2 linked regions of the Oreochromis niloticus genome follow. The protein of the gene in region 2 interacts with the protein of the main gene of each other region in a pairwise test. Links are inferred from orthologs where the notes say so. Each region holds a gene or a part of one and is shown on either strand. Other genes may lie near its edges.

Region 1 (6,703 bases), on a different chromosome or scaffold from region 2:
GGGTCACAAAATGTGCCCAAATCTGAAGTGTACATCACATTTTGTGCGTTATCCTAGCTTATTGTTATACATCGCACAGAACATACCTTAAGAAACATGTTCTCTTACTTTATTATCTACCAACTGCCAGGTATACTATACAATCACCGTGGCATGCAGGAGGTGAGCCACATGACAGCTTTACCTCGTCAAGCCCCGCTTTCAAGAAAGCAAAGCTGACAACTGCTGATTGAACTCGATGCCTCACGGAGCTCCGTTTATCTCTGATTTAAACAAAGATGCCTCTTGGCCAGCCTTTGTATTTGTATTTATGTCAGCATGTTTAAGCATCTGGAATGTGTGATGTTAAAAAATGATTCGCTTAGCTGACTCTCTTACTGTTTTGTTTCCACTCGTTTTCCATGTGGTGCTGTCTCTAGAAAGAGCAGTTTATCTCTTTGCAATCAGGGCATCAGCTCTTTGAAGAAGTCAGGTCTCATTCTTTCGCCTTCATTGACACCAACTGCAATTTTATCAGAGTTTAACTTCATGCAAATGCTCGAAATTTTTTCAGCTTGAGAGCACTCAGCAGAAAGTTTCACTTTAACCTCACACTTAATGCCAGAGTGACTGTTTGAAAGTCATCCACACAGCTTTTATACAAACTGTGGTAAATGTATATTTGATCATTTCTACAAAACATTGCCCTGTAATTAGATCAGAAATTCCCCAAAGCACCAAATTATTATTATTTTCATTTTTTTTAAAAAATAAGCACTCTTAACAAAGGTTAAATGTATAAGCATTAATTTATTAATAATTTATTAATCAACAATGTCACAAGTTGGCTGTGCAAACCCATGTCATATCCATACAGCAAGATTTGTACGATAGCACATTTTCATGAGCGAACTCACTCCACGAGATGGATAAAGTCAACACATGAGCAAACATCGTATTCCAAATCTGACAAAGAATCAACTGTGACAGTGAACATAGATTTTAGAAGCTCGGAGATGATAAACTTTATAGTTATACATTTATTTTCACCATAACACTGGGCCCCAGGGGCCACTGTAGTCCCACAGGTAGGGTCTGTATTGGTAGGCTTTGTAGAAGGAAGTGATCAGTGATGATCTGACCGAATCCTCTTTCAGACCCAGTCCTTCTGCTTTGTACAAATCCTTACAAAACTCTGATGTCTGCTGCTTCCGCTTCGTTTTGTACCTCCTGTTCTGAAACCAGATTTTCACCTGGGTCTCGGTTAGTCTTAAGGTTCTGGCCAGCTGAGCTCTCTCTGGGGCCGACAGGTATTTCTGGTGATTAAATTTCTTCTCCAGTTCGAGCACTTGGAGGTGTGTAAACGCAGCTCTGGAGCGCTTCTGCTTTCCGGGAGAGGGCAAAGTTGACTCTGAGGAGCTGGGACACGATGTGTCCAGAGATTCTGTGAAGCACAGATGAGATCCAGTCGTTAAACAGGTAAACTGGTTTACAGCAGGCTTTGTGAACTTGTTTGTGATCATTGTGAGATAAGCAGCTGCCATTACAAATTAAAATTTTAAAGCAAGTCTTTTGTTGTTACTCTGCATCATTCTGCACATTATTCACAGTAAACAACACACATCAAACAGATTTGGTCACTTTATCTAAGCACAGCAACCCTGCTGCTGGAAGCCTGCAGACGCTCACCTGTCTGTAATCCAAAGGCTGTTTCCTGAAGACAGAAATGTGGTGAAAACTTTCCTGGTTCTTCATTCCACTGCGAACATCTTTCCTCCTTCTGCGAGCAGCATTTATCATTAAATCGCGCGCTGTCCTTGTTGGAGAGGATGTCCTCAATGAGGAAGGAAGTCAGTGGTTTGGCCGAGTCAGACATTTCCAGCCGGTAATTCCAGAAATCCGAGGACTCTCGGTGCATCAGAGGCGCAGTGGGAGAAGTGGCTGAAGCACTGTGAGTCCTCACACACTTACACAGTCTGAATTTATACAATGGCAGGGGCGGGCTCAGACTGCACAGACGGGTTAAGGAGGCGGGACGGCTAAAGTTTACTTCTACTTTCACTAACTTTCATTCAAGGTTCCTACTCAGCTCTGCTGCAATATATCAAGTCCATAAAAACATACAAAAAGAAGTACTCATCCTTTTTATTTTAGAAGTGATCTGTATAGAGAAAGATTTTAAAAATTCAAACATGTCCGTGTAAAAGAAAAAAAACAACTTTAGGTTGATTGTAAAAAGATTAATTTAAATATTTGTAGGTGTCTTTATGCATGCTTTTATGTTTAAATGGAAAAACAGTCTGGTGTGGTTCTACTTATACACATGTGCAGAAAGGTGTCTAATATGTGATCTAAACTCAAACAAAATGATTAGAAACTCATTTCTGTACAAGAAAAATATAATGGGTACATGTTGGCAATGTACTTTTTTAGCTATGATCTATTCCTACCAGAGATAACTGAGTGACATCCAAACTTAGCCAATAAACCTGTATCAGAAAAGCAAGCATTGCATGTTCACAAAGTGTGTTTAGTCTTTCTGTGGAAGAAGTTTGAGTCCACAAGGAGGGACAGAGCTACCTGCTCCAGACACACTAAAAAGTCTCGCAGTGAGCCCTCCATCAGCTCAGTATTGTAACCCATTGGCTTCAGCGAGACAAATGTGCCAGTAGCGGGGGTGGGTGGGGGCCAGTGGCTGGGGTCAGAGTGGGTGGTCATGCCTCCTGAAGCACTAATGAGTTGGACACATTTAGGCCGGCTCCTGAATGGACACGCTCATTGTTTGACGGCTGTTTATTTGTTGTTCTCTGCAGTCCGGCCTGACCTTTCTCCGTCCACTAAGATGTTTACAGGCGGTGTCGGAGTTGCTCTGGGATTTCATGCTTCATTTGGAAATGCGTGAATGTTGGTATGACAAACACAGTCCTCTCCGTGGCCCCTGATGGCGCTGACTCCACCAGCTTCTCTTTGCCAAATACACACTTACATCACACTGATGGCTGCTACTATTATCAGCAGCACTTAAACTGCATCACTGTATGCATTATACACTGTATATGAATATACAGCCTTATATGTTTAATATATAGATAAATATTATCACCAGACTAAGTCATGTCTGTCACTTTCTTTCCTGTGTTGTGGATAATCATTTATGAAAGCTATCTGTGTGTAATCTCTTGAGGTTCCTCGTTTGCATTACCTGCTGTCTTGTCAACAGCGTATTAAGATTAAATGTTTGATTTGTCTCACCATGAAATCTTTGCATGCGACCGTCTGCCTGTTAAAGTATGTTGAACTGTAAGCACAGAAAATCCCACTTTTGTCTAGACATAGTTGGTTTGTTCCTCGTAAAACTCCTTACGTTTATTTTTGGATCATACTGTACTGAACGTGGAACCAAGCGAAACCACACTACAGCTGTGTGCAAAATGACTTTCTACTAGAAATGCATACATTGCATTTATTTCAGGCATATGTCACTTTTATTTCACCATCTAAAAAACATTTGATTGTGGTTATAACGATGCTTGACAGAATAAGAAACCTCACATACTTGTCTGATGACATAAGCAAAAACAAGGTCAGCATGGACAGCGAGCGCCTGGGCTGTGTGGGGAGGGGAAGTCCTACGATTGAAGTGGTTCTTTTAAGACTCTGTGCAGTCATCCACCACCCTTATTCTGTGACAATCGACATGATTGCTCCGAACAATGGCATTCCCTCTATAATCACTCTGTCCTAGACAGTCATGGCATGGTTATCTAGATGTGCATCAGAGGTAACATAAGAGAGCTGCTGACCTTTCAGCCTAGAAAGGCATTTGTCCTCCCCGGTGCAGTGGTGACGATGTTTTCTTTGAGCCACCAAAAGTTTTTGTGCCATCAATCTTCTGTTATTTTCTTGCTGTTTCATTATCTGAGATGATGACTGCGAGGACTTGTCGCAGCAGCAGATTTGTCAGCATTCTGTCTTCTTATCTGCTCAGCATCAGAGTTGTTTTATACTGTACCCTACGACTGGCTGTTGCACAAGAATCCTCTTTGTAAAGTGTGTGACATAACCAATATGTCATCAGAGGGAACAGGTCAGTTTAAAGTTTGCACAAAAAAGTAAATGATAAAGAAACAATTACTCTGAATTTACTAACTATGAACCATTTTTTTCTTCTCCAAATTCAGTGAAGGGAAAATTAAAGTAACTTATCTTTGACCTATGTGAGATAGTTTTGCGCTATGTATATGCAATTCTAGTGTTTTCCACTAGAGGGAGCTTTAAAGCCAGTCTGACACCTACTTTAAAGGAGAGGGATTATGTACCATGGACTGTTATTTCGTCTACAACCAGCTCAGCTACAAAATTCAACAGCTTCTTAGTTTTGTTTAGGCGAGTTGTTGCAATGTGCATGAGCTCCTGCGCAATCATAGACAACAGTTCATCATTTCATCATCACACTGACATTTGAAGTCTCTGACATAGTCAGGGACGCATCTTTCTTTCTAACCACAGCATGACTTAAACCCTTTGTGGATTTTGGAAACCATAATGTCTCTTCAAGCGATGGTCAGACTCACGTCATTCTCTATTTAAACTGCCCCTCATCACAAGCAGTGTAATCAAGCACCTTTTATGTGGACGAGGAGAAAAGAAAAACTCCCTTTCCACCTTTTCAAAACAAAGCACAGGTACTGCGCATGAGCTCACAGTTTTCCTCTCTGAAAAGACACAGATTTGACTATTCATTAGTGAGATGTTGCTGAATGTCATTTAAAAAAAATCTTTATCTAACCAATTACTTCAGTTGAAAGACGGTTACGGTGTCATGAGATCACAGGGTTACGTCATTTTAAGGCTTTTCTTTATGCTTCTAAATTAAAATTAAAATAGTTCACACCAAAGGTTATGGCTACACGTGATCTATAATAAAATGTATTTATTTACTGGTGTTATTAAGAAGAATGAGACCTATATATATTTTTAAAGTTACATTTTAAAGGCATACACCATTAACATAACTTCTGCAAAGCCCTTCTACACACACACACACACACACACACACACACACACACACACACACACACACACACACGCACACATAGAGTCATTATCTGATCTCTCTTGGTCTCCTCTCTGTCTACAGCTTCATCCTTATCTATGCAGAGATGCTCCTTCAGCCCGTGTGTCTTCTCTGAGAGGTGTTTATTCTCTGCGTTCACGCGCAATAAATGACACAAACCCATTTTTCCTCCAATCACGTGATAAAATAAAAGTGATTTTGACGCGGAACGAGTCGCGTTGAAATATATCTCTGATGGATTTGACGTTATGATTTTATAATTTTAAATTAATGCCACACTTTATTACTGTAGAGGTGTAAAGAGACGACTTTAATGATCAAAAATAACTGAATTTTATTTTACACAAATCTGTGTTTGGGGGTTTGATTGGCGCTCACCTGCCTGTGGCTCGTCGATACACGACACGTCAGACTGGAACTGTTTCCCACTTGATTGAAAGTTTGAAAAAGTTAAAGAGCCACTCTGTCTGCGGGTTTGTTTACCAAGCAGAGCCCCGGGACAGGACAAGCTCTCCGGCCTTATCAGCGGATTTGTGAATGGGGCAATAATGAGCTGAGTTTTGATAGAGCAGCGCTGTCAGGTCAGATGTCACTTCATCCATTAGCTGTTTGATGGCTCTCTTTGATAAACCCGGCAGACGACAACGCCACAACCAGTTACACTTAAAGGTTCCTAACAAGGTACGCTGTCGTTTTTGAGCTCATCCTGGAAAACTGGGTGACAAAGTCTTTCAAATTTATATAATAAGTTTTTTTCTTTCTTTATTTTTTAAAGCTCCACTCAAAAGTCACGGAGAAATTTAAAAAAAAAAAAAAACCGAATAATTAAAAAGCAGTTTAGTACATTAAACCTATTTTTAAAACATACTTTATATGAAGTCATCATATTGCATGTCTTTATACTTAAGGATAGACTACATAGAGGTAGAGGATTGGTTGTCCCATTGCTTGTTGCTGCCGCATTAGAGGGCACTGTGGGTATTTTACGCGTTCATTTTGCACTGGTCAATTTGTGGAGTTTGCATTTTTATGAAAAGCTCACGCAACATTAGTCGTTTTAAAAATGCACACTTATAAAGAAAAGCCAAAAGTAATGGATTTGATTTGAATCCGTTTTTACCGTGCTAACTACATTAAAATATTTGTAATTTTTGTATTTGCCAAACAGTGATTGGTCGTAATTAAACTGCTATAAATAACTTGTTGCCATATAATATGTGAAATATATCCCAAATGTGTCATTCATGAATGATATCAAGCCATCTTGAGCCACAAACAACATTCCTGTCACAAGGTAGACACCGCAATCAGTTTTTGGCAAAGTGACTTTTATATATATGCACTTTATTTATCCAGATAAAAACGTCTCGTTAATATTAAAAATGTCTTTTTAAGAGTAATCTGGCCAATAAGAAGAAGAAATGGCAACAAATATAACAATAGTTCTGTAAACAATATTTACGTGGCCAAAAAAGACCGGATTGGTTATAATGTATAGGTGCAATAAGACACAGTCATAAAGATACTTGAACAACTGATTTTTAAATTGTATATAAAGACCCTTTGTAAATCGTGTTCACTGAAGTCTGTTTACAAATACAAGTAATTTTAAGTAAAGATATTACACACCTATGTGTAAGGTTTTTG
Region 2 (7,690 bases):
ATTAGTGCAAAGTATTATGTAAAAGCTGAATAAAACCTGTGCAATGTTAACATTTAGCACATAGCTGTCAAGTAATAGGGAAATATGAATTATTTGGGGGATTGTTTCACCTTGTGTTTTTTTCTATGCATGAACTATAAAAACAAAGTCCATGCAGTCATCCATATGAAAACATTTTATTTATTTTTTATTTGTTCATCTTGTCTGTGCAGTAGGAAACAAACAGTGGACTAACTTCACCAGGTTATTTATTTGTTCAGAGAAGTTGTTGATATTGCTATTCAGCAGTATGTAATAAATGCAATTGAGTGCCACTTTAAATAGTGAAATGGATAATTGAATGCACTGATTTGTGTTCATGAAAAAAAGATCTCGGTTTGAACTCAAATATAGTGTTTATGGAGTTCCCTGGATCATGATTTACATCTGGGACTGTCATAAAATACAAAAATATGACTGCTCCATCCAGCAGTGCACTATATGTGGCTACTTAGTGAATTTTAAGGCCTTCACTACTCTGGACCAGCAGTAGTCCAATTACTTGGAATTGTTAGTCTGTCACTGACCCCGCTTATCGGTTCCACTTGCACTTATCCACAGCTGATTTCAGTTCCCGTGGCAGTCTGCAGAGTGGATGTGGACACTTTTATTACTTTTATTTTTATTGCACAAAAGGAGAGAGTGGGGTGGTTAAGTGCAAACTGCATCCAGGACAGAAACAATCACTTTATGTTGCTAACATAACTTTAGCTTTTTGCAAGCACCTGCACAGACAGCATGCTAATGTTAAGCTATCCAAGAAGCCAAAGTAATGCCAAACCTGAGTGAATGCCGACCCCTGCCCAGCAGCCAGCCCCTCAACCTCAACAGGTAGCAAACTGATAAGCAGTCAGGCTGCAGCCGCGTTTTCTACCTGTTCATGTTTCTAAAGCAGAATCACTGTGGCGATCGCCTAGAAGTCTCTTTGTGCTGGTTTCCATCTTTGCTTTGTGCTGTCGGCTTCATACCTAAATACTAAGAGAAAGATCGTATGTGTACCTCATTAGGATAGGAATTTGTGTTGACCAGTGGGATTGTAGCTTATATGTTTATATTGTTTAATGGTAATAATGAGACAATACATTGTCAGTTAATGTAAAGAGTAGTTACTTTCTCCTGGGAGTAATTAAGTACTCCATTACTTTTAAGAAAACTGTTCTGTGTAATGCATTAGTTTGTAGATGCAGTTAATTTGCATGAATGTCTGATATGCTCCTTAGCGATGGCGATGGCTGGAGCCAATGAGAACCCAGTGAGAATCGATAAGTGATATTGATAATTGAATTGAAATTGCTAAATTCTTATCAATTGCCATCCCTACTTGGTATGAGCTGTTTGTGGTGCATTTTCTTCTGCATTTTGGTTATTTCTACCCAAAGGACATAGTTCCAGAAGCCTTGTAGTTTATTCTGATGCAACTATCAAACCAAAGCTGTGCTGTCATGTTCTTTGTAGAGAGAAAAAGCTTTCTTCTGACAGCCTCTCCAAACAAGTCATACTTGTTCAGTCTTTTTCTGATTGTACTGTCTTCAACATTTAGCTAAGTGAGTCCTGCAGATTCTGAGATATAGCTCCTGGGCTTTTTGCCGTTTCTCTGATTGTTGCATTATCTGATCTTGGGGTAAATTTGCTTTTACGTCCAAACCTGGGAAGAGAGTCATGTGATTTGAATCTTTTCCACTTGCGAACAATCTCTCTCAGTGCAGAATGACGAAGGTCAAATTGTTTGGAAATTACCTTATAACCCTTCTTGGATTGATGGGAAGTAACAGATGTTTGTTTAAGCTCACTGCTAAAACCTTTCCCCCTCAGCATTGTGTTAACAGACATCTGAATGTCCCAGACCAGCAAACTGACAAAATTTCTGCTTTTATGGAGGTGCTCGCACTTGCTGATCGTCAGTTAATCATGTGAACGTGATTATCAGCAACTGGCTGCTGCTTACCCTCTTAATTCTAATGGAAGCAGTAAGGCTTTACTGAGGCTTTTACTAACTGCTTTTGTATTTTAGCTTAGTCTTTGTTAAATAAGACAGTTTAGTATGTCATATGTCGTTGTTCCTCTAAGGTTTTACCTAATGTAAGAATTAAAACAGGTGTACCTTCTTTTTCACGTGACTGTACTTTGGTGATTGCCATTGAATAATATAATAATAAGGGGGAAAAACATGATGATAATGAAAAACAGTATTCAGGAGTTAAAAAAATGACCTCCAGCTCTGTCGGTTACATTGTGAAAGCCCGGCACACCCACACAGGTGTTATGAATTATTTGGGTTTCATGATATCTTAGCTGAGAAACCACTGTTGAAACTAAGCAGATTATCACAAAGGAATAATAAGTAAATTGTTAAGAAAAACAAAGTTTAACTGGATTATAAATTATAACATGGCATTAAAGAAGAAGAATGACTTGCAAATAAACTCGGGTGAGTAAGAGTGATGTCATGTCCACGCAGTTTGAAGAAGATATCTAATGAGGACAAATTGATGAAAACAATGGTGTTAATGTGCAGAATCTTTAAATTGTTGTTTATAGGGACAGTAATAACAATACAAAGGAAAACTGCTTTTGAGAGGTTATTTAGAGAGGTTTGTATGTTTTAGGCTTAACCCTCCCATATGACAACTAAAACCACTTTCATTATTCAATCCTTTTAAACAAGCCACAAGAAGACCCCGTCTCAAAGAAAGTAGGTTTTGGGAGGAAAGCGTCAGTAATTTTTTTGCAAATAGTTGTTCAAGTGGAAAAACCAGACATGTAGTGGAGAGCAGTCTGAGTTAGAGAAATGGTAAGCCAGAATTATTTTACTATTCAATACCCCTCTTTCTGCAGCTCAGTGGAGAAACACAAGCAAACACTAACTGTAGGTAATATTAAATTTCATTCTGCTGAAGCATCGTATTTCTTCAGTGGATGTCTGTGCAAATATTCTTAACACAGAAAAGGGTCTAATGTTTCTTTTGGGTTTCTTACACGGAAATGATTTTAGAAGCAAAATGAAATATCACACCAGCTTTGTATGTGAGCACATGAGAACGCTAACATGTTAACATCAAACTGTGACTTGTTATTGTAATGGTTAATATACAAACATTATTATCTTAAGTGTTTAGTAATTAATGTTTTTGTTTAAACAGCATCTCCTTCCATGTTCTTGAGTAGACAGTGAAGGAAATACTCAGATTAGTGGTTTACATTGAAGTGACACACATTTAAAATCTCACTTAATTCGTGGTGACTTAAAACATATTACATTAAAAATGTTCTTACAGTATAACCAATAACAGCAGTGCTGCAGAAAACAATGAGTCATTAAGTATGGCATTATTAGATTTTTGAGAAGAAGCAGCTGTTTATTATCATCCATACTAGGGACAGGGGTTTGCTAATATACTTTATATCAAAGACCAGCATGTTCTGCAAAGTCTGGTTTTGAAACCTTGAGCCCAGTATTTTTCCTCTCATTATCATTGCTGTTTAAAACTAGATGTCACAAGTGAGGCGTGAATCTGGCATGCATGGTGCACTTATGTTGGCAACTTATCACTTACCTCAAGCTCTAACTTCCTTGTGATGACAATCAGGACTACAATGTACAAAATGAACAGCATGTTGTTTTCAGTCAGCCTTTGAGCTTGCATTCAGGAAAGTGCTCACTGAAGCCATGGGTAACAGAAGCCAATGACTAATTATATTTATAGACTTCTCTACAAATGGACATGTTTTAAAGCTACATTTATCATTTAAACTCTGTGAGTTTGTGGGATAAATTTACTACTCACAGCTCAGACATCTATAATAATGTGTTTCCTATTTTTAACATAACATGACATAAAAATGGTAAGTTTGTAAATACAGTCTTCAAACAGTAGGGAAGTAGAAAGCAGGAGTACAAAGAACAAAAACCAGCAACAAATGGAAACATGATAAAAAAAAAAAGTATACTTAACTAAAGTGTTGTATTTGGCTACATAATCACTCACTTTAAACTGTAATTTTTAATTATTTATTTAATCTGATCACTTTCAGTTCTCTCTCACCTAAACACTAAGGTTGGCTCGCAGGGTTTGAGGAGGTCTGAGCTAATCAGCAAAGACACACACACACACACAGAGGGAGAGAGAGAGAGAGAGAGAGAGAGAGAGAGAGAGTTGTCTGCATAAGTAAACATGGCTGCCTTATAAATATAAATTGCAGTCAATGGAGGTGGAATTCCTTTGCACTCACTCACCCAGCCACTAGTCCTCTTGGCTTCACTTTGAACACACCCGCAGCAGGTGCTTCCACTTGAACTAAGTGTGCAGTTGTGTTTTAGGCTGTGACTTTCAGGTTAAGTGTAATTCTGCCAAAACCAAAAACCAACCAAACAAACAAACAAACAAAAAAGCCTGGGAAGATTTGAGGAGACCTGTGTTTGGGGCTCAGTGACAGTCATCAGCAAGAAGCCGACTGAAGGTTGCCCGCTGCCTGTTGCGCCTCATCTTCAGGCAGCAACCGGCCACTGGCTGGAAACAGCACTGCATCTGCCAGCATCCAGTCAAGTCATTGACTCAAGAACATCAGAGCATCATTGCTGGGTAAGAAGTTGCTCTCTTAAACAAGGTCTTGGATATTTCTGTAGCACAATCTTATTATAGGCCCATTATTTATAGGACATATGCTGTATATCTGAGATATGTGTGTTTGTGTGTGTCTATAGTTTTCTTAGTAGTCTTGAACAGTTCGTTTAACCTAATTAGTAACATCCAGAGATTTTGACTCTCAGTAATTAAAGGGAAAAGTTTAATTATTAAATACATCCCCTGTCTTAATGTGAAAGTTAAGAGTAAAAATATTAAAAAGAAACATTCAGACATTCCTGAACCAACTGCAGATCAGATTAAGCAAATAAATAAATACCCAGTCAAATATAAAAGGAAAAAAGAGACTGAGACCTGTTTTTCTTCTTTCATAAATCTCATGCAAATCTGAAAGTTTCCATTCAGAAAGGAAATATGCAAAATGTGGTCAGAAAAAATGCTGTTGTCAGTTAGGTACCATAAACCACAGCAATAGACTGACTTTGAAACAAACCAAAAAACCCAACAGATTTCTTTCTGCTGTCACTGTGGGATGAGACGGGGGATTTCACTGTGGTTTTAATCAAAGGTGGAAATCAAATACGACTGCAACTACCTGAGACAGAAAGAAGAGAAATTCCAAAGAGGAATAACAGAAGCGGATTGTTTGTTCTGTTTCTTCTATGGGTACAGGTGCATTTATATTCCTTTTCATGTCAAGCTAATCGATTATTTTTCAGAGGCCTTGTGACCTTGTTAGTATGGAAATGTATGAAATTACTTTTGTCTTAAGAGGTCTTACATTTTTAAAGCCAAAGTTTAAATGTAGAATCTATATAAATCTTAACAACCCTTTTTAATTCATGGCACAGATAACAAGATAGCACAGATAATCACACGTAAGGCATAACATTGTACAAACAGTGGGGTAAGAAAAACAGAAAAGACCTTTCTATTCCCCCCAAAGTTTGCTTTTCTCCCTTCATCAAAATATATAAACCACATCTCCTGATAATTTCATGCAATACTTGGTTACTTGATTCAGGAGGTTTGGTATGAAATACTGGGGCAGGTTTTTACACAATCAAATAGTAGTTCTTTCCTGGTTGTCGGACCAGGTCTGAAGTCAAAAGTGTTTTTAAAGCTTTGAAACAGATATCGTATCATATAAACACAGAAATAATGGCACACAATTTCATAGCTTTGCAATCAGTACACGTGAAAGGTAACAGTGATGATTGTGTAAAGAATGAACAAACCCTAGCTCCTTTTTCACTTCCATTGGGGGGGTGAGACCTGACTTCTCATGAACAATCTGCTGCCTCTGATCGCTCAGGAGACTCAAAATTATCCGTGATTCTCTTCTAAAGAAGCACACACAGTTTGCTGACAGTTATTTCAGATTTGCAATAAGTTTCAAACTCCGCACAAGTTAAAAAATGAAATTATATAAACAAAAAGTAAAAGATTAATGTTCCCATGAACTGGTCATATGCAAATATGAACTAGTTGCATCTAGAAAAAACCAGTTGATGGTTCAGCCAAATCCTCTACATATGCCCTGTTAGACGTACAGGATTTGTTCCTTGTTCATTCTTACATGTTTTTCTCTTCAGTGACTTCACAGCCCATTTCCCTCACACTTGCAGGATTTCAGTTATGTTGGGTCAAGTGCGAAATTTTCTGATAGTTTCTGTATTTTTTTCTTTGTTTCTTTGTTTTGTTTTTAATTTTATTCCTAGCATTTGAAAGTTAAACAGAGTGCCTGTTTGCCAGCGTGTGCTATGATCTGATAAAGTTATGAGTAGTGAATTGTGTCTCAAATAACATATATCATCACACTTTGTAAGGCAGCTGATGAAAAGGGTCATCCTTGTGTTTAACATTTAAAAAACTGGGTTTGGTTTTTTTTTTTGCTTGTTTGATTTTTTTTCTTTAATCTTGTGATGATTTACGATTTAAACCCAGCGCTCAAGAAAACGCCCGAGGCCACGTAGCGGCAGCCCTTATATCTGCCTTTGCTAGAACAGTGACAGGTTTATTTTTTTATCCCATTTTCAAGTTCTCCAATCTTTAGGTCCAACCCCAATTAAATGAGGTTTATTACCAGCATAATTAGCTCTAAGTAGCCTCTTTGTCAAGATTAATTTAGACCAACATCAAAGCCATTTTCCTTGGATATTGGCTTAATGCCTGCACACCTGACTAACAGCAGATATGAATCACCATACATCCCCTAGCAGTGTGGGTGGTTGGAAAAATTTGTTAAAAACAGAGTTTAATGGGATCAGTATTATAAGGCAGTGTAGGTACAAGCACACGAAATAAACCTTTATTGCATTTCATAAAATAAGCACATAAACTGAAGCTAATTTATAACGTGAACAGAGCACCTGCACATGTCACTGCTGCAATAAAAATTCCCTAAGGGAGCAATCTGCAGATCTAAATCTCCTCCTCCAACCAGCAGGCGTTTCTTTGCAGAGCAACAGTCATACTAAGTAAGAAGAAGATGAAATTCCTTCCGTTTTTCTCTGAACAATGACTTCATGAGTGGGTCCAAATTTCCCATGAGGAACAATAACAGGGAAAAAACAGGGGGTGGGGGAGTGTCACATGGCAAACAGTCACTCTTGGCTGTATACGCTTCTTTAATACCAGACTGAAACACTACCAGCATAACACTCAGTGTGTTTTGATTATGCCTTGATAGATGGCATCAGATCTAATCTCTGACCTTTTCTCTTTTTTTGGTGCTTGAATGGATTCATCCAAGTTAAACAAGACGAGACATTTGGAGTTGTTTTAATCACTACTCATTAACTATAAATTAAACACTTACCTGTCTTCTTTCACAAAACTGTTCAACAATGCTGAGTTGGCTCGCAGGTTAATATTTAGCTAGATTGGCTCCACTGGTTTGCAAATTTCACCACTTTCATTTTAGGAAAAGAATTTTTCCAGATAAAAATATGACCTACAGGTTGGGCAAAAGGCAGTTTAGATTTTAAAAAAAAATCTCTTCACGCAGCTGTAACCATACAAAACTTAAGGCAGTGATACAAACTTCACCTCACATAATCACCGTA

The links.
Region 1: the proteins of spdef (region 2) and nkx3-1 interact in a two-hybrid assay, tested with the Homo sapiens proteins (2 studies listed by BioGRID). The link is inferred for Oreochromis niloticus from reciprocal best matches to the Homo sapiens genes SPDEF and NKX3-1.

The regions. Positions count from the first base shown.
Region 1 is NC_031977.2:13,889,111-13,895,813, reverse strand, and holds nkx3-1 (homeobox protein Nkx-3.1), read right to left. Parts: upstream 1,954-6,703; 5' UTR 1,898-1,953; coding exon 1,669-1,897; intron 1,424-1,668; coding exon 1,026-1,423; 3' UTR 748-1,025; downstream 1-747.
Region 2 is NC_031970.2:9,854,818-9,862,507, reverse strand, and holds the start of spdef (SAM pointed domain-containing Ets transcription factor), read left to right. Parts: upstream 1-4,246; 5' UTR 4,247-4,619; intron 4,620-7,690. UniProt on the Homo sapiens protein: May function as an androgen-independent transactivator of the prostate-specific antigen (PSA) promoter. Binds to 5'-GGAT-3' DNA sequences. May play a role in the regulation of the prostate gland and/or prostate cancer development.